4 linked regions of the Saccharomyces cerevisiae S288C genome follow. The protein of the gene in region 1 interacts with the protein of each later gene in a biochemical or structural test. Each region holds a gene or a part of one and is shown in the gene's direction. Other genes may lie near its edges.

Region 1 (6,609 bases):
TACAAGGTCGGATGGCGAGTTATTATTAAATTATTATAGTTAATCACTTCATTAGTTTTTCTCCCCCATAGCTTCTTTGTGTGTGCTCTCCAGATAATTAACATGATTGGTCAAATACTCACACATTGCATCCCATTCTGGGGTATTAACTTTATCGGTAAAATACTTGAATTTAATAACTTGGCTTTTCGGAGTGGTACAGAAGGACCCCCTCATATCATTGAATAAAAACAATTCAAAATCCATTCCATAGCGATGCGGCTTCCTGAAGCCCCGTACTTGTTCGCCATTTGGACCGATAAATCTGTTTTCATGATAAAGAGTCCATGGATCTGCCTTGTAGAAACTGGCATGAATGAACATGATATCCAAATCAGAACCGTCATCATTAACCATCAAAGTTTTCAAGAAACCATTGTCCAAAGTATAATCTGGATCCAGTTTGGAAAATTCCTCAATGTTGGCTTTAACTTTCTGCTGCGCCTTTTGGTATTGCTTGTAATCTTGTTCAAAATCATGCTGGAGCAAGGCGAGACCCTTGTAATCATCTTTTTGATAGAAGAAACCATCAAATTCAAAGTTAGTCCTCACTTGATAGTATGGCATATTCAAGGCATGGGCAGCAGCGACGAAAGTGTCTTTGTCACCTTCACCGGCAGTGCCTTGAGAAATCATCTTATAATACCAGGTAGGCCCATAAACATTATAGTATAGCGCCAGTAATAGAGTGTTGAAATGGCGAATCTTATCAATCACCATCTGGCCTGATTCAGAGCTCAAGTCTGGCATCGTGCCGTCCAGATCATGTAAGGGAACATGTTTCAGGAAATGCTCCTGTCTCTCCTTTGGAGTGTAATCGTTTGAGTTACTAACAAATGGATCATAACGTGACACGGGGGAAATATCGTCACTAACAAAACGGACTCTTTTGCCGATGTTAATGCTAGATCCTATAATGTTGTAAAAGGCGGGAGGGGTGACACGTCTCCAAAAATCGGGCCACAATATCAGGCCAGTATCGTTGAAGGATGTAGTGTTAAAAGCAAGGTCAAGGTTTTTCACCGCATAGTTATCTGCGTCCAAGAAGATAATACGCTTGAAACTGGAAATTATCAACCCAAAGACTTTCAACTGGAAGTGCGTGAGTTTTAAATCGCTTAATGGCTTTGAAGGAACGATATCTGAGAAATAAATGCACTTACCATTGAATTTCGGCAACCAGTTCTTACAAAAATCATCCTCGCCTTCGTCCTGAGGCGGAATGATGACTTCAATAGGCAATGTAGTACCCGTGTCCCTCAACTTTTTGATCATCGTATACGCGAGCACAGAATACTTTCCACCTCCAATGGTGACAATGCCCTCAGAACCTGAGAAAAGTGCCTCTCTTTGTGGGATGGAAAAATTCAGTTTCCCTGATAAGGTGTCTGTAAACTTACTGTGCACTTCTCGTAGGCTTTCTTGTACTGTTTTATTCAAATTATAGCATTTACTCAAGCTCTCGTAACTTAAGTCACTATCGTGTCCAGAGTCGTGTGCAGCAACGTTATTTGCAAAGCTACACCCTTCCGCCCCATGCAACTTACTCAAGTCCGGAGACGAATCTGCCGGCTTGTTTTCCACGATGGCTTGTACCAGTGTTGTGTAAAAATTGTTTTTAAGGTTCGACCTTGTTAGAACCGGCAATCTAAGCTTTTTACCGTATAACCAACTAGAAGACACATCATTATGCACAGAACAAAAAAATAAAATTAGCACTACTGCGCTCACGATGACCTGCAGGATTTTTCTCTTCTTTAACCTAATCAGCATTGTAACCTGAACTATTAGTATATCCTCTTGTTGTGCTAGGAACCAGTCGTAAAATAAAAATTTCCAATAACCGTGAAAATGCTTTTTTCATATCTGCGTATATATAAAACACTTTAAAGCCGTGTTGATCCTTTAGTTGTTACACTTTTTTTTCCCCGCCGATGAGAAAGTGAAAAAAAAAATCCGCAAGAACGGGGAAAAAGATAAAAGAAGGCACTTATCTCTCTGAACTCTGCACCGAAACATGCATCTGTCGTCTATTCCGACTTGGCAACCAAAAGAAGCCCAAGAGCTAGTTGCACTTAAATCAGTAGAATCGTGAGATTGTTTATTATCTTACTTCTGTTAGAGTGCTTCGCTTTCCATGCATCAAACTATGGATTTGTGCTGATCTTGCAACCATCGTCCTCTAAGGAAAGAAATGTGGCACCTTTAAATAGGTTCCACCTCACAGATGCCAACATGTGGGAGATAGGGGGCTATTCGCAATTTATTAACGTCTCTAGTACTGGTAAGCCTTTCTAACATTCTTGTGGTCACGTGATGTGTATGTTTCTTTTTTTTATTCCTCCGGGTGATAACGACGCGAAAAATATTTTTTCATTTTTCTTTTAACCATCACAATTTGCGACGCGACGCGAAAAAAATGCAGAGAAGTAAAAGAATGCTGGATAAGAAATCAACAACACAGTTGAACATTGGCGTGCCCCTGTGTATTAAGTAAAGGTTGTCCAAGAGGCTCTTTTTTGTATGTATGCGTGTGTTAACTATCCTGCACATCATCTTGCGCAGTTAGTCCAATAAAAAAAGGATTACTACTGAACAGGTCTTACTATTTTTGATTGCGTAGTGCTGGGGAAAAGTAAACACACACAGGCGCACACGAGAACAGATGAGTTCTTTGGACGAGGATGAAGAGGACTTCGAAATGCTGGACACGGAGAACCTCCAGTTTATGGGGAAGAAGATGTTTGGCAAACAGGCCGGCGAAGACGAGAGTGATGATTTTGCTATAGGGGGTAGCACCCCGACCAATAAACTGAAATTTTATCCATATTCGAACAACAAATTGACAAGAAGTACGGGGACCTTGAACCTGTCATTAAGTAATACAGCTTTGTCAGAGGCTAACTCCAAATTTCTTGGGAAAATTGAAGAAGAGGAAGAAGAGGAGGAAGAAGGCAAGGATGAGGAAAGCGTGGATTCTCGTATTAAAAGGTGGTCTCCGTTCCATGAAAATGAAAGTGTTACTACTCCTATTACAAAAAGATCTGCGGAAAAAACGAACAGTCCTATTTCTCTCAAACAATGGAACCAGCGATGGTTTCCGAAAAATGATGCTCGCACTGAAAATACATCCTCATCCTCTTCATATAGCGTCGCTAAACCTAACCAATCAGCCTTTACGTCTTCGGGCCTCGTATCTAAAATGTCTATGGACACTTCGTTATACCCTGCGAAATTGAGGATACCAGAAACACCAGTGAAAAAATCACCCTTAGTGGAGGGAAGAGACCATAAGCATGTCCACCTTTCGAGTTCGAAAAATGCATCGTCTTCTCTAAGTGTTTCCCCTTTAAATTTTGTTGAAGACAATAATTTACAAGAAGACCTTTTATTTTCAGATTCTCCGTCTTCGAAAGCTTTACCTTCCATCCATGTACCAACCATAGACTCATCCCCACTGAGCGAGGCAAAATATCATGCACATGATCGTCACAATAACCAGACAAACATCCTGTCTCCCACTAATAGCTTGGTTACCAACAGCTCTCCACAAACATTGCATTCTAACAAGTTCAAAAAAATCAAAAGAGCAAGGAATTCGGTTATTTTGAAAAATAGAGAGCTAACAAACAGTTTACAACAATTCAAAGATGATTTATACGGCACGGACGAGAATTTCCCACCTCCAATCATAATATCAAGTCATCATTCAACTAGAAAGAACCCTCAACCTTATCAATTTCGTGGACGCTATGACAATGACACTGACGAAGAGATCTCCACTCCAACAAGACGAAAATCTATTATTGGGGCAACATCTCAAACACATAGAGAAAGCAGACCATTGTCACTCTCCTCTGCCATCGTGACAAACACAACAAGTGCAGAGACGCATTCCATATCTTCCACCGATTCTTCGCCGTTAAATTCCAAAAGGCGTCTAATCTCTTCAAATAAGTTATCAGCAAATCCAGATTCCCATCTTTTCGAAAAATTTACGAATGTGCATTCCATTGGTAAAGGCCAGTTTTCCACGGTCTACCAGGTTACGTTTGCCCAAACAAACAAAAAGTATGCAATCAAAGCCATTAAACCAAACAAATATAATTCCTTGAAACGCATATTACTGGAAATTAAAATACTAAACGAGGTAACAAACCAAATTACAATGGATCAAGAAGGGAAGGAATACATCATCGATTACATCAGTTCCTGGAAGTTTCAAAATTCATACTATATTATGACAGAATTGTGCGAAAATGGTAATTTGGATGGATTTTTACAAGAGCAAGTTATCGCAAAGAAAAAAAGGTTGGAAGATTGGAGAATTTGGAAAATCATCGTGGAATTAAGCCTGGCTTTACGATTCATCCATGATTCTTGTCACATTGTGCATCTGGACTTGAAACCCGCAAACGTCATGATCACATTTGAAGGTAACCTAAAACTAGGTGACTTTGGAATGGCTACTCATTTACCGTTGGAGGATAAAAGTTTTGAAAATGAAGGTGACAGAGAATATATTGCACCAGAAATCATTTCTGATTGTACGTACGATTACAAGGCAGATATTTTTTCCCTGGGTCTGATGATTGTTGAAATTGCAGCGAACGTTGTGTTACCTGACAATGGCAACGCATGGCATAAGTTGAGATCGGGTGATTTATCGGATGCAGGAAGATTAAGTTCCACAGATATTCATTCTGAATCATTATTTTCAGACATTACGAAAGTAGATACAAATGATTTATTTGATTTTGAAAGAGACAATATCAGTGGTAATAGTAACAACGCTGGCACCTCCACTGTTCATAACAATAGTAATATCAACAACCCTAATATGAATAATGGCAACGATAATAATAATGTCAATACTGCCGCTACCAAGAATCGTCTTATTTTGCATAAAAGTTCTAAAATTCCCGCATGGGTACCGAAATTTCTTATTGATGGTGAATCACTTGAGAGAATAGTACGATGGATGATAGAGCCCAATTATGAGAGAAGGCCCACGGCAAATCAAATCTTACAAACTGAGGAATGCCTGTATGTAGAAATGACACGCAATGCAGGTGCTATTATCCAGGAAGACGACTTTGGACCTAAGCCAAAATTTTTTATATGATAAATGGAACAAAAAACCTTGTTTTATTTACATACTTTTTTCCCACACGTGCTTATGGGCCGCATTGTATAAATAATCCAATAACGAAAAAGAGTGTAATTGCAGTCCGGTAGTAATACCATGTAAAACCTTAGATGAGTTTATTTTAAGTACAGCCGCTTCAAGCATTTTTATTTTTATTTTACAGATGTAGCAGATAACAACCGTTAAATTATATTATATATATATATATATATATATCAAATACGACGTATTACATATATATTGAGAATAAGGGAAGGATGGAAGACAAATGACAAAAAGTTTGAAGCATAAATATGTTCTTCGCTTAGATGTTCATCTTGGTTCTTCTCCAGTTTCTTCTCTTAGCGTTGTAACGGATAGTGTTGTTGGTTCTCAATCTGATCCATTGTGGCAATGGTCTGTTTTGCTTCTTAGCCTTAGCCATTTTTTGCTTGATTCTGAAAGACTTTTGAGCCTAATTAAAAGGGAAACATATCGTGCACATACGAAGTGTACAATTGTAAAAAATGTTAGTAACAATGTTCAAACTCATCAATGTGATGCATTCACGGATCCAAGGCAATACCACCTGACATAAACCACGCTGGACCACCAAAAGTTCTCAGAATAAGCAGTTTATGACCATATTTTAATCTGCGTAGTGGCGACTTTAGATTTCTGTTTCGGATAAGAAAAATTTTAGTATGGTTAACACTCCTAATCCTTTCCCTATATTTTACACATTGCTTCTATTTCAAATCCAAATTGTAGGTGGTAAGGTCATTTAGATGGATGTGGTTTATAATTTGCTATTGATCAGTTCAGCATCTAACTGGGATTTATAATATCTTTCTAACATACAGCCATGTTGATCTATCTGTGTTTATTTGCTTGTCTTTTTCGAATTTTCAGTATAATATGAATGTACCAAAAATTGTAGAAAGTATATTAAGTAGAAGTTTTAAAGTATCTATCAAGGCGAAGAATAATTCTCGGTTCTCGACAGCCCAAAAGCCGAATTGCGTTAGTTAGCCCACGCGCGAGCGTAAACGCAAGGACCATTGAGCTTGGAACAGAAGGAGTCGCTTCGGCGTCCCCGCCAAGGCGTACTGTTTGCCTCGGCCTGCCGCGTGGTGGTGGTAGTTTGAGCCGGAGCCTAAAACGCCCATAAGTTTTTTGAAAATCAAGCTAAAAAATGAAAAAAAAAAAAAGTTAAATTGGTACTGTGCGCCCATACATCACATACTTAAAAGTGTGTAATTCCTCTATACATCCACACCTCACTATTTGAAAAACTCAAATATTGAGGACGCGCGATTACCAGCGGCATGTTTACTCGCTGGAAGATGTGAAATAATTCTTGAATATGGGTTTGCAGTTAGTCAATTTCAATCTAAATAATCTTAATCGACTATTCAATTCTTAAATTGTAAGGTTTTTTA
Region 2 (5,531 bases), on another chromosome or scaffold:
TGACCTTATTACCAACCTCAATGTTTTCAATACATTCAATAGACCCATCCGCCATTAAAACATTGGTACCCTTGGCAAAGCACCCGACATAGATAATGGCGTCAGAATTGGAGTACTTGGACAAAGATTGAGAGATAACGGTCTTACCACAACCAAAAGCACCTGGAATACATGTCGTACCACCTTGAACACAAGGAAACAAAGCATCCAAAACTCTTTGACCTGTTAACAAAGGATAGTCAGCAGATAACTTTTCAGTAACTGGTCTTGGAACACGAACAGGCCAAGTATGGTAAAGAGTGAAATCAGACTTCTTGCCATCAAATTCAACTTCCAAAATCTTCTCATCCAAAGTGTACTCACCAGCTGGAGCAATCCAAGTGATTGTACCTCTTGATCTTGGTGGCAAAAGAATCTTATGGCTTGAAATTAGCGAATTCTCAAAAACGGAACCGTAAATATCACCACCGGAAATATGATCGCCGACTTGAAACTTTCCCGGAGTAAATTGCCACTTGATAGTCCTATCCAAAGCTGGAGTGTCAATACCTCTTGGGATATAAATCGATTGCGATTCTTCCTTAATGGCTTTCAAAGGTCTTTGAATACCATCGTAAATGGTTTCCATCAGACCAGGACCCAATTCTACCGACAGAGGCTTACCTGTTCTCAAAACAGGGTCACCGACCGTAAGGCCTGCAGTTTCTTCGTAAACTTGGATGGTGGCCTTGTCACCGTCAATTCTAATGACTTCACCCACCAGGTTATCGTGACCGACCTTGACCAATTCGTACATGGCACAACCAATCATATTTTCAGCAATGACGACCGGACCAGAGACAGAATAGATGGCACCATATTCAGATTCAGCATGGTCTTCTAATGAGATTCTTTTTATTTCCTTACGAGCGTTTTCAATTGCACCAGCCATTGTTTCTTTTCTTCTCTATTTGCTTTTTAACTCTAAGAATGAAAGAACGACTCCTGCGTTATAATCTTAGATATCTATATGCTTTGAGAAATGTGTTTGGTACTTTTTATTCTAATCAACGTAGTAATCAAAATGTTGCAACCTTATCGAAAGAGCCATTTCTTGTTTTCAGCTTTTAATCCAGTGTGAGACCCCTTTGAGCGGCCGTGGAAAAAGATGTGAAAAAAAAAAAAAAAAAAAAAAAAAAAAGAAAAAGGAAAAAGAAAAAGAACAATACAATAAGGTTATGCTAGGAATAAAAAGAACAATAGATAGGACTATAGAAGCAAAGTGGAGTCTAATCGTGGTGGCAAAAAAATATTCTCGCCCAATTGGAGTCTGTACAGCATTGAAATGCCGATGAAGAGTCTACATACTGCTGCTGTTGCCGCTGTTGTTGTTGCTGTTGTGTTTGCCGTACAGACATGGAGTGGTTCAAGTTTAAGGTATCTAGGTAGCTGACAGGAATAGGATTGGAATAAACATCTCGATAGATAGAGAGTTCTTCGCCGTCCCCAATTTCAATGACTTTTCTTTCTGCTGGGTTTTGTTTTGTTCGAGTAGGAGCTTCGTACGGGAAAAGCACCGGTGTTTGCACTTGATGTTCGCTGTTCCTGGTTGACATATCATTTGGGCTTAGGTGAAATGAGAAGAGATCTTCTTCGAAAAGCTGCAACTCTTGGTCATCTTGACTCGCACTGTGTTCGGTTCGTACACCTTCTTCCTCGTCACGAAAAAACATTTTGGAATTGCGTTTCCACCAATCGGTAAACGATTCTACAATGGAACGCACGGATTCATCTCTCTTTGTTGAACCAAATGGATCCGATCTTCTCGAGTTGAATTGTGCTGTGCTAAGCTGATATGGATGCGTGCCATTAATAGCTTCAATTGCGCCACGATGTGAAGATGCAGGTGGCCTCCATTTTACAAGTACGTCCTCCATTTTTCCCACAAATACATTTTCTTCTCTTCTTCTTCTGCTTTTTTGTTTCGAAATCACGAGTTGCCTCACAGAGGGGAACTCACTTCTTGGTAAGAATCTGTTTTGAGCCTCCGCTTCAGGGCTGTAGGATGGGAAAGTTATGTCGCCCCCATCTAAACCATCTTCTATACTTGTGTTACACTGCATATTTTTCTAATATTTCTTGGCTATCTGTAAGCAAATCTACATCCAGGAATAGAGTCCACAAGTATATTCCATATAAAAGCACAGAACTACGAAGTGTCGCAAATTAGTTGTTTTTTTGGGAACTTGAACCCATACACCGCACCAAATTATTACAATATTTTGTGACACAGGACAGAATATTAATAAAAGAAGCGAAACTCTATTCTCCTAAAACTTCTTCTTGCGGAATTATGTATCAATTAATGCTAAGATTAATCCAAAAGCTTATACGACAACAATAGTCGTTGTGCACTTTGAAATACAATCGTGTATTACCCTGACATGACCGGGTAATCTAGAAGAGGTTATTATTTTCTTTTCCGCTGAATTGTGGAAAAGAGTCGTGGAAAGTTTCAAAGGGACATCCCCATTTTATAAAACCAATTGAAGGGCTGTAACTAGAGCAAACTTCTTAAGGTACCAGCCCGCTGCAAAACAGTGTTCGAACAAGAACACGCAAACCCGTTTACTTCTTGTCCTACCTGCTCTCTTTCCTTTCCGGTTATTGTTCCTGTTACGTCTTTTTTTGAATTTTATATTATTGGCACTTCTGTATAACTGGCTTTCATTCGAAAAAAATGGATATGGAAATTGATGACCCTATGCATGGTTCAGATGAAGATCAATTATCACCGACTCTCGACGAAGACATGAATAGTGATGACGGCAAAAATAATACGAAGGCGCGTTCTAATGACGAAGACACAGATGAAGAGTTGGAAGATTTTAATTTTAAACCGGGGTCCTCGGGTATAGCAGATCATAAATCCTCCAAACCACTAAAACTGACCAATACAAATATAAATCAGCTTGACCAATGGATTGAGCATTTGAGTAAATGCGAGCCACTATCAGAAGACGATGTAGCACGACTATGTAAAATGGCGGTGGACGTGTTGCAGTTCGAGGAGAATGTTAAACCAATTAACGTGCCTGTTACCATTTGTGGTGACGTACACGGTCAATTCCATGACTTGTTAGAACTTTTCAAGATTGGTGGTCCTTGTCCTGACACCAATTACCTTTTCATGGGTGATTACGTGGATAGAGGATATTATTCTGTTGAGACCGTATCTTACCTAGTTGCCATGAAAGTCAGATATCCACATAGAATTACTATACTTAGGGGCAATCACGAGTCTAGGCAGATTACCCAAGTATATGGGTTTTATGACGAATGTTTGAGAAAGTACGGCAGTGCGAACGTGTGGAAAATGTTTACCGATCTATTCGATTATTTCCCCGTTACTGCCTTGGTGGATAATAAAATCTTCTGTTTGCATGGAGGTCTCTCACCCATGATAGAGACAATAGATCAAGTTAGAGATTTAAATAGAATACAGGAAGTGCCTCACGAAGGTCCAATGTGTGACCTTCTATGGTCCGATCCTGATGATAGAGGCGGATGGGGAATCAGTCCGAGAGGTGCAGGCTTCACTTTTGGTCAAGACATCAGTGAGCAATTCAATCACACTAATGACCTATCACTAATAGCAAGAGCTCACCAATTGGTAATGGAAGGATATTCTTGGTCTCACCAGCAAAATGTTGTCACCATTTTCAGTGCTCCAAATTATTGTTATAGATGTGGTAACCAGGCCGCTATTATGGAGGTGGATGAAAACCATAATAGGCAATTCTTACAATACGATCCATCTGTGAGACCCGGTGAACCAACCGTCACCAGGAAGACACCGGATTATTTCTTATAATATATATCTATTACACCTTTATCCTTACTACGCTATTTCATTCCAACATACATTTATTTTTTTTTTTTTTTTAATATATATTTAGTTACTTTTTCCCTCTAATTTTTGATAATAACAACTTATATACAAACATACAAACTATTTTTTCGTTTTCAAATACTTATTTTTTCGAACACAAAGTGAAAACAACTTTTTCTCATATATTACTGTTCTCATACTAGAATTTCTATAAACCGTTACGTAATTTTTTCGCTATGTATAGTTCACTCCTCACGCTAAATGTTTAATTTATCAAATTTCATCTCTACCGAATCAGTATCCCTAGATGACGGCGAACCCTCAACACTAGCCCTACGAATTCCCTCATTCTTATTACTGTTACTGTCATCACTACGTTTCGGAATCGCACCAGAATATGAATTTTTTCCTTGAAAATGGTGGTACTTATTTGCTGAGGATCTTGTGTAATTGTTAGAATTATAGCTTGGTGTATTGCTATATGGCCCGCTGTGATACTGAGTGTTATATTGGTATTGATATTGATATTGGTATGGGGGATACATAGGGATTGGGGTGCCAAACGAACAGGACCCTTGGGGATTCATATTGTACATGTAAGGGTTCATGAAGACTGTGTTATTGCCCATTACCATGGGTGAAGGTGCAGGACCGGGGGCAGGACCAGCGGGGTTATACATTAGAGGGTAGGTTGGCAGACTATTGCCACCCATTTGGGGAGGAGGATACACAAGATATGGCGAAGAATATCCCGATTGGTAACCGCCGTTTTCTTTATTCCGACGACTTTGGCCTCTATAGGCATCTTTGTAATTGTTTGTTCCTCTTCTTCTTCCTCCTCTTCCTCTTCGACTATCATAAAATTGTTGTTGAGGTTTGTTTACTTGTATCGTCGTCACAGATGAATTGAATGGTGATGAAGAGCTAACTGAACCGTTACTAGTTTGTGTGTTAGAGTCATCTCCGTTCAACCAATCACTCCATTCATTGTCACTATCACTACTACCGCTACTGTTGGTTGACTTTACATCGTCTTCACTCTTGTTGAGCTTATCAAAAATTTCTTGTTTACGTTGTTCATAAAGTCTTTCCTTCTCAATTCTTTCTTGTTCCAAATCAGTACTAGATTTATCATCGATTTCGATTTTTTGGTCCTTATTTGAATTGGCTGTCAAATTGCTATTTGGTGTACGTGTATTGCCATCGATTTTATAATCGCACTCGTTACCTACCTCTTTCCGCTTTAAGATTCGAAATATTCTGTTATTGTTCGATTTTTCAATACTCTCACTTGAGGAAGCACACTCTTCCGGTTTTTTGTTCAGCTGCAACTCTTGTAAGAGTGGCTTTCCTTCAATCTTTTGGAAATTCTCACCTTTGAAAAGAATCACACAACTATCTTGAGTTCTTGCCAAAACATGGTTCAAGTTGTGGTACTCAGCTATTTGGTGCGATAGAAGCCTATAATATGAATTCATCGGTCTTAGCTGAAATGATTCTGTGTTTGAGTTTATGAATGACACTATGGAATTTTCCAGCTCTATTATAAAGATACGGTCCTGTGGTTTCTGGAACAAGCCCGTTTCCATAGCGGGTGTCAATCCCCAGTTTCGAGAATCTAGTGCTGTCATCACCTACTTCTGCCCTAACTCCTTATATA
Region 3 (4,415 bases), on another chromosome or scaffold:
TCAAAAAAAAATAAGTCAAATGACATGGTTAAAACAAGAACATTACCGAAATGTATGATTTTAGTGAATATTTTCTAAATTTTTGAGCTTTTAAACTTAGTATTGACGTGCAGCTTCCTGGCAGGCTTTTAGTTGCTGCAAGTAATAATCACATATCTGGAAGTTGCCGTTGTTTTCATCCAAACAACGTGTAAAGTTTCTCGCGTCTATTTCACAAGTTCTTCCCAACTGCTGGTCCGTTTGGGTTTGGCCGGAGGTGTTGGCCATATTTTGCTGTTGTTGCTCAACAGGAGCGGAATCAGACCCGGATCCGGAAAACATACCGGTAATACCTGCACCTAGGGTGTGTCCAATGGTGCTACCAACGGCAACACCTGCAGCAGTGGAGGCCATCTGCGCAAACATACCTGGCTGTCTCGTTTGGGCACCTGCAGCAGGAGGGTGTGAATAGGCATTTGGTTGTTGTTGTTGTTGTGGATGAACTGGAGCCGCCATGGTAGAAGCGGACCTTGTCTGAGTAGGTCTCGATCTCGATATAGGTCTTGATGATCCTCTTGAACGTGCCATATTTTAGAATTTTGTTGCTGTTGTTGCTTTTCTTGTTCTGTTCTTTGTTCGAAATATTAATCCTTTTTCTTAAAGGTTATAAACTGTACGAGTGATAGGCTTATATAGGTCGCGGAGATTGCGGTGGAGTGAAAAAGCGCTTTTCTTTTATACCTTTGTTCAAGGTGGCGTTTGCCGTATAAAAGCACACATGACATAACCGAACCTCGGAAAATGAAGTTGCACTGTTATTGCCTTCCAGATGTGTAGAATCATCACCATCTTCTGTGATAAATGAAGAGGGAATCGTACGAGGACGCCAGCATATTTTTACATCAAAATTTATGTTATTGTTGAAGGAACATTGAAAAGATAGGGCGGGCAAAATCTGCGATCAAGCCTATCCTCTTTCATCTCAGCTGTTCTAGATGCGTTACCCGGTGGTAACTTCACTGCATATTATTACTTTATATACCTTATTCTATATGTTGCCCGGGTAGGGCATTATGTAGCATCACCCGGAAGAACTTTTGGACTTTTCTCTGTCAAAAGATATTACCTAAAAGGGTCAAAACAAAACAAACCCAATAAAGAAAATCCAAAATATAGAACGAATAAATATCTCGAGGACCTGGGATGATCTTTGAATGTACATCCTTTGAAACAAGGCATATCTTGAACAGTTACTCTTGTGCTACTCAACTTTCGTACAATACATATAGAATCACTGAGAAAGTAAATCCAATTCAAGCGGCAGTTTCAAAGAACAATAAGCCTTTTGTGTCAAATTCTGATTCTGCTTTTTTTCCTATTTTTTCATCCTTCAATTTTGTGGCATATACTACATTAACTTTCAAGAAAACTTAAAAAAGAAAAGACAAAAAAGCTAAACTGCATAGTCAAGTTTGTATAATTGAGCTGAGTATTATTTTTTGTACACAAAAACATTGGCTTTCTTATATCTTCTCTATATATACTCTCTTTCATTCATCGATAAACGTTACATTTGTTATTCATAGAGAATAAAAATCACAGCCGTGGAGAAGAAAGAACAGAGTAAGATCAAGTCGAATAAAGATGTCGTTGGGTCCTCTTAAAGCTATCAATGATAAGCAATTGAATACCCGTTCCAAGTTAGTTCACACCCCAATAAAGGGAAATACCGCAGACCTCGTAGGAAAAGAAAATCACTTTAAACAAACAAAGAGACTAGATCCGAATAATGATCATCACCACCAGCCAGCTCAAAAAAAGAAAAGGGAAAAGTTATCAGCTTTGTGTAAAACACCACCTTCATTAATCAAAACAAGAGGAAAAGACTATCACCGAGGTCATTTTTTAGGTGAAGGTGGATTTGCTCGCTGTTTCCAAATTAAGGACGATTCAGGCGAAATTTTTGCTGCCAAAACAGTTGCTAAAGCCTCAATTAAATCAGAGAAGACAAGAAAAAAGTTGTTGTCGGAGATTCAAATTCATAAAAGTATGTCCCATCCAAATATCGTTCAGTTTATTGATTGTTTTGAGGATGATAGCAATGTCTATATCTTATTGGAGATATGCCCCAACGGTTCATTAATGGAATTACTAAAAAGAAGAAAAGTTTTAACAGAACCAGAAGTTAGATTTTTCACCACTCAAATATGTGGTGCAATTAAGTATATGCATTCAAGAAGAGTTATACATAGAGATTTAAAACTTGGTAACATCTTCTTCGATTCAAACTATAACTTAAAGATTGGTGACTTCGGTCTGGCAGCTGTGTTGGCGAATGAAAGTGAACGTAAATACACCATATGCGGAACACCTAATTACATCGCACCTGAAGTGTTGATGGGTAAGCATTCTGGACATTCATTTGAAGTAGATATTTGGTCATTAGGTGTTATGCTTTATGCTTTGTTGATTGGTAAGCCACCCTTCCAAGCAAGAGATGTAAACACTATTTATGAAAGAATCAAATGTCGTGATTTTTCGTTTCCAAGAGATAAACCAATCTCAGATGAAGGTAAGATTTTAATAAGAGACATTCTATCCTTAGATCCAATAGAAAGGCCCTCTTTGACTGAAATTATGGATTATGTATGGTTTAGGGGAACTTTCCCACCATCTATTCCTTCGACGGTCATGTCAGAAGCACCAAATTTTGAGGATATTCCTGAAGAGCAGTCACTGGTTAACTTCAAAGATTGCATGGAAAAATCTCTACTATTAGAAAGCATGAGCAGCGATAAAATTCAGCGTCAAAAGAGGGATTATATTTCTTCAATTAAATCTAGTATCGATAAACTAGAAGAGTACCACCAAAACAGACCATTTTTACCACATTCTTTATCCCCTGGCGGGACGAAACAGAAATATAAGGAGGTTGTTGATATAGAGGCACAAAGAAGATTAAACGATTTGGCTCGTGAAGCAAGGATACGTAGAGCACAACAGGCCGTTTTGAGAAAAGAATTAATAGCTACATCGACCAATGTCATTAAATCAGAAATCTCCTTGAGAATATTAGCCAGTGAGTGTCATCTTACTTTGAATGGCATTGTAGAAGCAGAAGCTCAGTATAAAATGGGAGGTCTTCCGAAATCAAGATTGCCTAAAATTAAACACCCAATGATAGTTACCAAGTGGGTCGACTACTCCAACAAACACGGATTCTCCTATCAGTTATCAACAGAGGATATTGGTGTCTTATTTAATAATGGCACCACAGTTCTCCGATTGGCAGATGCAGAAGAGTTTTGGTATATTAGTTATGACGATCGGGAAGGTTGGGTAGCAAGTCATTATTTATTGAGCGAAAAACCACGAGAGCTAAGTAGACATTTAGAAGTAGTTGATTTTTTTGCCAAGTACATGAAGGCAAATTTGAGCCGAGTATCTACGTTTGGCAGAGAAGAATATCATAAAGATGATGTATTTTTGAGAAGATACACAAGGTATAAACCATTTGTTATGTTTGAACTAAGTGATGGTACTTTCCAGTTCAATTTCAAAGATCATCATAAAATGGCAATATCCGACGGAGGTAAATTGGTGACCTACATTTCTCCCTCCCATGAAAGCACCACATATCCCTTAGTTGAAGTACTAAAATATGGCGAGATCCCAGGATATCCAGAAAGTAACTTTAGAGAGAAACTAACTTTGATAAAGGAAGGTTTGAAGCAGAAGTCCACAATTGTTACCGTAGATTAAACCAATATTAAAGTAGAAAGAAATACGAATACGAAATTACCAGTCCATTGATTGGGCCCCATTAATAACTAATACTAAATAAAATAAATGGTCTTGCCCTTAACGAAGATAATATATAATATTTACCCCTAGCATTAATACCCTTTTTCTAAAGGTACGAAATGAACAAACATCTTTCATGTTAGTTCTTCCTTTTCAATAGTTCTCATATAGCGTTTTTTTTCGCCTGAGCGGTTCTAGAGCTATATCTATTCAAAATTGCCATGCTTTTGTATTCATATTGTATGTATGGGATGATAACCTGTCGCTTCCTGAGATTTTCTCAAAAATATTGTTTTGAACCTAGATTTCTTTTTAATTATTCTTACAGGTGCCCATTGGAAGAGTGACAACATTAATTTTGAAAGCTATTCACTTGGTACATCCGCGGTTTACCAATTTTTAAGTTTTATCAAAAGCTGGCTTACTTGACATGTATCTACAAACTTAAGAATACTATTATGGGCAGTTATTTGCTAATTCTTTGTTACCTAGTTAAAATCCAAAAAATCCTGATTTATATTCATTTTATTACTGTATTCCTTTTTTCAAGGCGGGAGAAACTTATACCGCCATAGTAAAATAAATAGTGACTAAGGTAGCCAGAACTTCTCATCAACAAATTGCGAAATTAA
Region 4 (4,853 bases), on another chromosome or scaffold:
TTCAGTCAAGGCCTGTTCGTAAAGATTCATGGTGTTCTCAAAATGTGCAGTAAGCTGAAACTTAGCAGGTTTTCCGTAAAATTCGACACATGCTTTGCACCAGCTGCCTAATTTTCGCCTCATAAACCATATTCTGTGGTAATTATCATAGTTCAGAACGGATATGTTGAGGAAATCATCTATCAGCCTTTGTATCTCAAAGTTCCCGTTGGAATCCTTCATAACAAGCAAGAAGGGGTTGTACTCCAACAATAAGGCAAGGGCGGAAACTGTTTTCGAAAATATAGTATCATTTTTCATGATATTGTTCCTTCTTTGATCTTTTAGGTTTCTTATGAGGGTGTTCAGGATCTTTAAACTCTTGGCGTACTCCTGAGAAGAAGATGGATCCGTGGGCACTTTTTTAATCTGCACCTTTGAATCCACCCCCGAGTTCAGGTCTTTTATTGCCAATATCAATTCGTCAAGATATTTGACGTGTGATTCCATGCAGTCTTGTGGGCCTTTACGCGGTGTATGTCGTTCTTGTTGTCCAGCCTCACTTTGTCTTCATTAATCATCTCTCTTCAAAATTGTCCGTCGGCGGGTATTTTTTTCTAGTTGACTAGTTTTGGAGCGTGCGTTCCATCTATTTGATTTATAAGGGAAAGAAGAAATTTATTTGAAGGATATTCACTATATAAATTTTATTTGTATTCTAATGCTTGTTGGTGAAAACTATGATCCATAGTTTTTTTTTTTTTTGTTTGCTTGTTTGTTTATTCTTTATTATGATAAGTACATAGTATGCTCCATATAGTTATGGAGCCTTGAAAAGGAATTCAATTTCAGTAATTAGAGTATATCAAAGCTAGGAGATTTGGGGTGGAACTTGCATATCGTTCGAAATCGATTGTGTTTGATGTTGCTGTTGTTGTTGTTGCTGCTGTTGCTGCTGTTGCTGTTGCTGTTGAGCAGCAGCGGTCGCTGCCCTCAGCTCGGCCTCGTAGTTCAGCGGCCTTTTGAATAGCAAAATGTGTGGTTCTGGCGCATGGCATTCATAATGTTCCCACCCCAAAGACTGTGTGATGCCGAGGCCTCTCCATTCGTCTTCTGTTAATATACGCAGGGTCCCCACTTCCGAATTGAAGTAATCAGATGGGATAACTTTTAGCATGGCCTTAGGTAACATCACATGCCTGTACTCATAGTTATCGTCTGAGTACCGCGGAGAATAGTGAATGGAATCTTGAAACTCCAACACGCGTGCTCTTTCTTGGTCAGTAAGCTTTCTGCCTTGGAAGGCGTGATAGTGATGGTACATAGTACTGTAAGACGAGAGTAAGTGCGTGTCAATCTAGTTGTATCCAACGCGGCCAGCAGTTCCAAGAACTTACGACAGAGTTGTAATGAATGCTACTGATGTCTGCTCTACTGCCATCCGCTGTCCTTTCATGCATAAAAGCTCCATTCTTTATTTATCTCATACCACGAGAAAAAAAAATCACCTGACATATTTTTATAACCCGCCTTTTAGACCCTAAAACAGATCTCAGGGCTCGAGTACTGTTTTATCTGAAAATTCTTCGAGCCCTCGTTTTGCACTGAGCTAAACCAAAAGAAAAATAAACAATCACAAATGGAACCCGAAACAGCACGCTGCGCAGTGTTTTTATATTTTTTTGAAACAAATGGCTTTATACAATGTGTATGTGTGATAGAAAAAATGGTATATTTCGAGTGACTTGTGATCCTATTCCCAAGCCCTATAGGAGCTATTTCAAATTGCGTGTGTGAAAGCGTGTGTGTGTGTGTGTGTGTGGAATTGTGCGGACGTTCCTCTTCTTTTATACATATAATTTTTATATATACAAAGGGTTCAGTTTGCATATGCATAGCAACGTATTTGTTGGTGTCAAACCAGGCTTTAATCATAAACAGCACAGCAAAAAGTCACGTTTCCTAGAAAATGTCTCTAGTCATTCACCAGAACTGCCTAGTAACTATGATTACGTTTTGCTTCCTATAACAACGCCAAGATATAAGGAAATAGTTGGGCAAGTTTTCAAAGATTTCCAAAGACAATCCATACAGAACTGGAAACCGCTTCAAATTCCTGAACCGCAGTTGCAGGATATCTGTATACCCCCGTTCAACGTCAAGAAGCTAGACAATGACGATACGCCGTCTTACATAGGGCTGTTATCCTCTTGGCTGGAGCTGGAGAGTCGCGATCCAAATGTAAGAGATCTTGGCTTAAAGGTCCTTCTAAACGAATGTAAGTACGCGAGGTTTGTTGGAATCAATAAGCTAATATTGGCGCCTCCACGGGACCTGTCCAACCTGCAATTGTATGGACAGATGATTTACAGGCTCCTGCAAAATCGCATCGTCTTTGCTGCGCCTGCGTTAACCATATCCATTTCTCTGCCACTTTACGAAGACAGCGATCCATTGGCCACTTGGGAACTGTGGAATACCGTGCGGAAACAATGCGAATATCATCCCTCTTTGACTATCTCTTTGGCTTTGCCAAGAACCAGGACTCCTTCGTATGTGCTGAATAGATGGTTAGCCGAACCCGTCTCGTGTCTTTTGGTATCTTCATCCATCTTTGCCAGTAATCAGTACGATTATCCCGTTTTACACAAGTTTAACCAGAATTTGATTTTAAAGTTCCAAAAGGTTAATGGAGATTCACAAATTTTGGGTAATGAATTATGCGTGATATTGCATGGGATGGAGAAATATGCCAATAATGTTAAGGGCGGAGAATCTGCCTATTTGGAATATATAAACTACTTATTGAAAAAGGGCGACAAAGTATTAAATTCCAATAGTAATCACCAATTTTTGCTCCAAGAGGACTCTCGGATAATGCCGCCTCTGAAACCTCATTCAGATAATTTATTAAATTCCACATATTTGACTTTTGAAAAAGATTTGGTGAAGTACGATCTTTACGAATCTGCCATATTAGAGGCGCTTCAAGATCTTGCTCCTCGAGCGAGTGCCAAGAGACCGTTGGTGATCCTAGTAGCCGGTGCGGGAAGAGGACCTTTAGTGGATCGAACTTTTAAGATAATATCAATGTTGTTTATGGATAGTAAGGTTTCTATAATTGCCATTGAAAAAAATCCACAGGCATATCTGTACTTGCAAAAAAGAAATTTCGACTGTTGGGATAATAGAGTGAAATTAATCAAGGAGGATATGACCAAATGGCAAATCAACGAGCCGTCGGAAAAGCGTATTCAGATAGATCTGTGCATAAGTGAACTGCTGGGTTCGTTCGGTTGCAATGAATTATCACCAGAATGTCTCTGGTCTATTGAAAAATATCATTCCCACAATGACACAATTTTCATACCGAGGTCATACTCTTCATACATAGCACCCATTTCGTCACCATTATTCTACCAAAAACTCTCACAAACAAATCGCTCTTTGGAGGCGCCCTGGATAGTCCATAGAGTGCCATACTGTATATTATCCTCAAGGGTAAATGAAGTGTGGCGGTTCGAGCATCCCATGGCCCAAAAAGATACTGTCCAAGACGAAGATGATTTTACAGTTGAATTTTCTCAAAGTTCATTAAATGAGTTCAAGATAAAGCACCGCGGCGAAATCCATGGCTTTATCGGATTCTTCTCGGCAAACTTATATAACAATATATTCTTGTCAACTTTGCCCAATGACAGCACAGTCCGTTTAAAATTTAGCGAAGAAACGTTGATGAATACCAGACGAGAAGAAAATCTAATCAAGAAATGTGACCATACACCAAATATGACCTCGTGGTCTCCAATTATCTTTCCTTTGAAGCAACCAATATCCTTTATAGATGACTCCGAACTTTCTGTGCTGATGTCTCGGATACACTCCGATACAGAACAAAAAGTTTGGTATGAATGGTCTTTGGAGAGTTTCATATACCTTATGTTGTCAAATTACACTTCGGCGGTAACTGCTGCAAGCATGACTATTCCGAGGTCTATAGTTACAGATGACACTAAAACTTTAGCCCATAATCGACATTATTCAGCGACTACCAATCAAAAGCTAGATAATCAAATTGATCTTGACCAAGACATTGAAAACGAAGAAGAACAGGGATTCCTATCCAATCTAGAAACTGGTTGGCAAAGCGTACAAGATATTCACGGACTCAGCGAAACCGCCAAACCGGACCATTTAGATTCTATCAATAAGCCTATGTTTGATCTCAAATCTACTAAAGCGCTTGAACCCTCTAACGAATTGCCAAGGCACGAAGACCTCGAGGAAGATGTTCCAGAAGTTCATGTCAGAGTCAAGACTAGTGTTTCCACGCTACATAATGTCTGTGGCAGAGCCTTTTCCCTGCCTCTGTGAATTCTGCATTGTATACTATATACTGCGGCAACAAATAACTATCCATACGTCCTGAGTACCACAAGTCAGCGTCATCGATCGAGCGGGGTGTCGGCGCCGCACCGTAAAACTACATGTATAAAAAAAGAACCCTTTTTTTGGAACTCTTCAATGGTAAATGGATCTCGACATGTTGCCTGCTTTAATTTATGTAATTCAGGAGTAAGGGTAGTGTTAGTTCACCATACTTCGTATTGATATTATCTCGGTTAGCTCCTTTGCTTTAAGATACTAATAGGTGGTAATTAAAAACAATAGTTTTCCTTCAGCCTTGTCCCCCCTAAGCTGCACTTACATTTTGCTTCCATAACTTTTGCCAAGCATGACAAAGGAACGTATGACCATCGACTACGAAAATGACGGTGATTTTGAGTACGATAAGAATAAATACAAGACAATAACCACTCGAATAAAGAGTATCGAACCTAGTGAGGGATGGTTGGAACCTTCTGGGTCAGTGG

Evidence for each region.
Region 2: of the proteins of SWE1 (region 1) and PPH22, one has a biochemical effect on the other in vitro, tested with the Saccharomyces cerevisiae proteins (2 studies listed by BioGRID, with this or other methods).
Region 3: of the proteins of SWE1 (region 1) and CDC5, one has a biochemical effect on the other in vitro, tested with the Saccharomyces cerevisiae proteins (2 studies listed by BioGRID).
Region 4: the proteins of SWE1 (region 1) and HSL7 form a complex in vitro, tested with the Saccharomyces cerevisiae proteins (2 studies listed by BioGRID).

What each region holds. Positions count from the first base shown.
Region 1 is NC_001142.9:75,358-81,966, reverse strand, and holds SWE1 (tyrosine protein kinase SWE1), read left to right. Parts: upstream 1-2,704; coding exon 2,705-5,164; downstream 5,165-6,609. Other genes in the region: alpha-1,2-mannosyltransferase MNN5, read right to left, coding at 52-1,812; 60S ribosomal protein eL39 RPL39, read right to left, coding at 5,493-5,642, 6,029-6,034. UniProt on the Saccharomyces cerevisiae protein: Protein kinase that acts as a negative regulator of entry into mitosis (G2 to M transition) by phosphorylating and inhibiting the mitosis-promoting cyclin B-bound CDC28 at 'Tyr-19'.
Region 2 is NC_001136.10:122,187-127,717, reverse strand, and holds PPH22 (phosphoprotein phosphatase 2A catalytic subunit PPH22), read left to right. Parts: upstream 1-2,719; coding exon 2,720-3,853; downstream 3,854-5,531. Other genes in the region: VMA1 (H(+)-transporting V1 sector ATPase subunit A), read right to left, coding at 1-931; YDL186W (uncharacterized protein), read right to left, coding at 1,269-2,102; RBS1 (Rbs1p), read right to left, coding at 4,129-5,502. UniProt on the Saccharomyces cerevisiae protein: Exact function not known, phosphatase 2A performs an essential cellular function.
Region 3 is NC_001145.3:268,345-272,759, reverse strand, and holds CDC5 (polo kinase CDC5), read left to right. Parts: upstream 1-1,623; coding exon 1,624-3,741; downstream 3,742-4,415. Other genes in the region: MIX17 (Mix17p), read right to left, coding at 97-567; YMR001C-A (uncharacterized protein), read left to right, coding at 1,183-1,413. UniProt on the Saccharomyces cerevisiae protein: Protein kinase required for the cell cycle where it is involved in mitotic exit. A component of the fear (CDC14 early anaphase release) network which promotes CDC14 release from the nucleolus during early anaphase. Phosphorylates SCC1/MCD1 and NET1.
Region 4 is NC_001134.8:501,304-506,156, reverse strand, and holds HSL7 (protein arginine N-methyltransferase), read left to right. Parts: upstream 1-1,869; coding exon 1,870-4,353; downstream 4,354-4,853. Other genes in the region: protein kinase MEC1, read right to left, coding at 1-489; cyclin-dependent protein kinase regulatory subunit CKS1, read right to left, coding at 851-1,303; AGP2 (Agp2p), read left to right, coding at 4,715-4,853.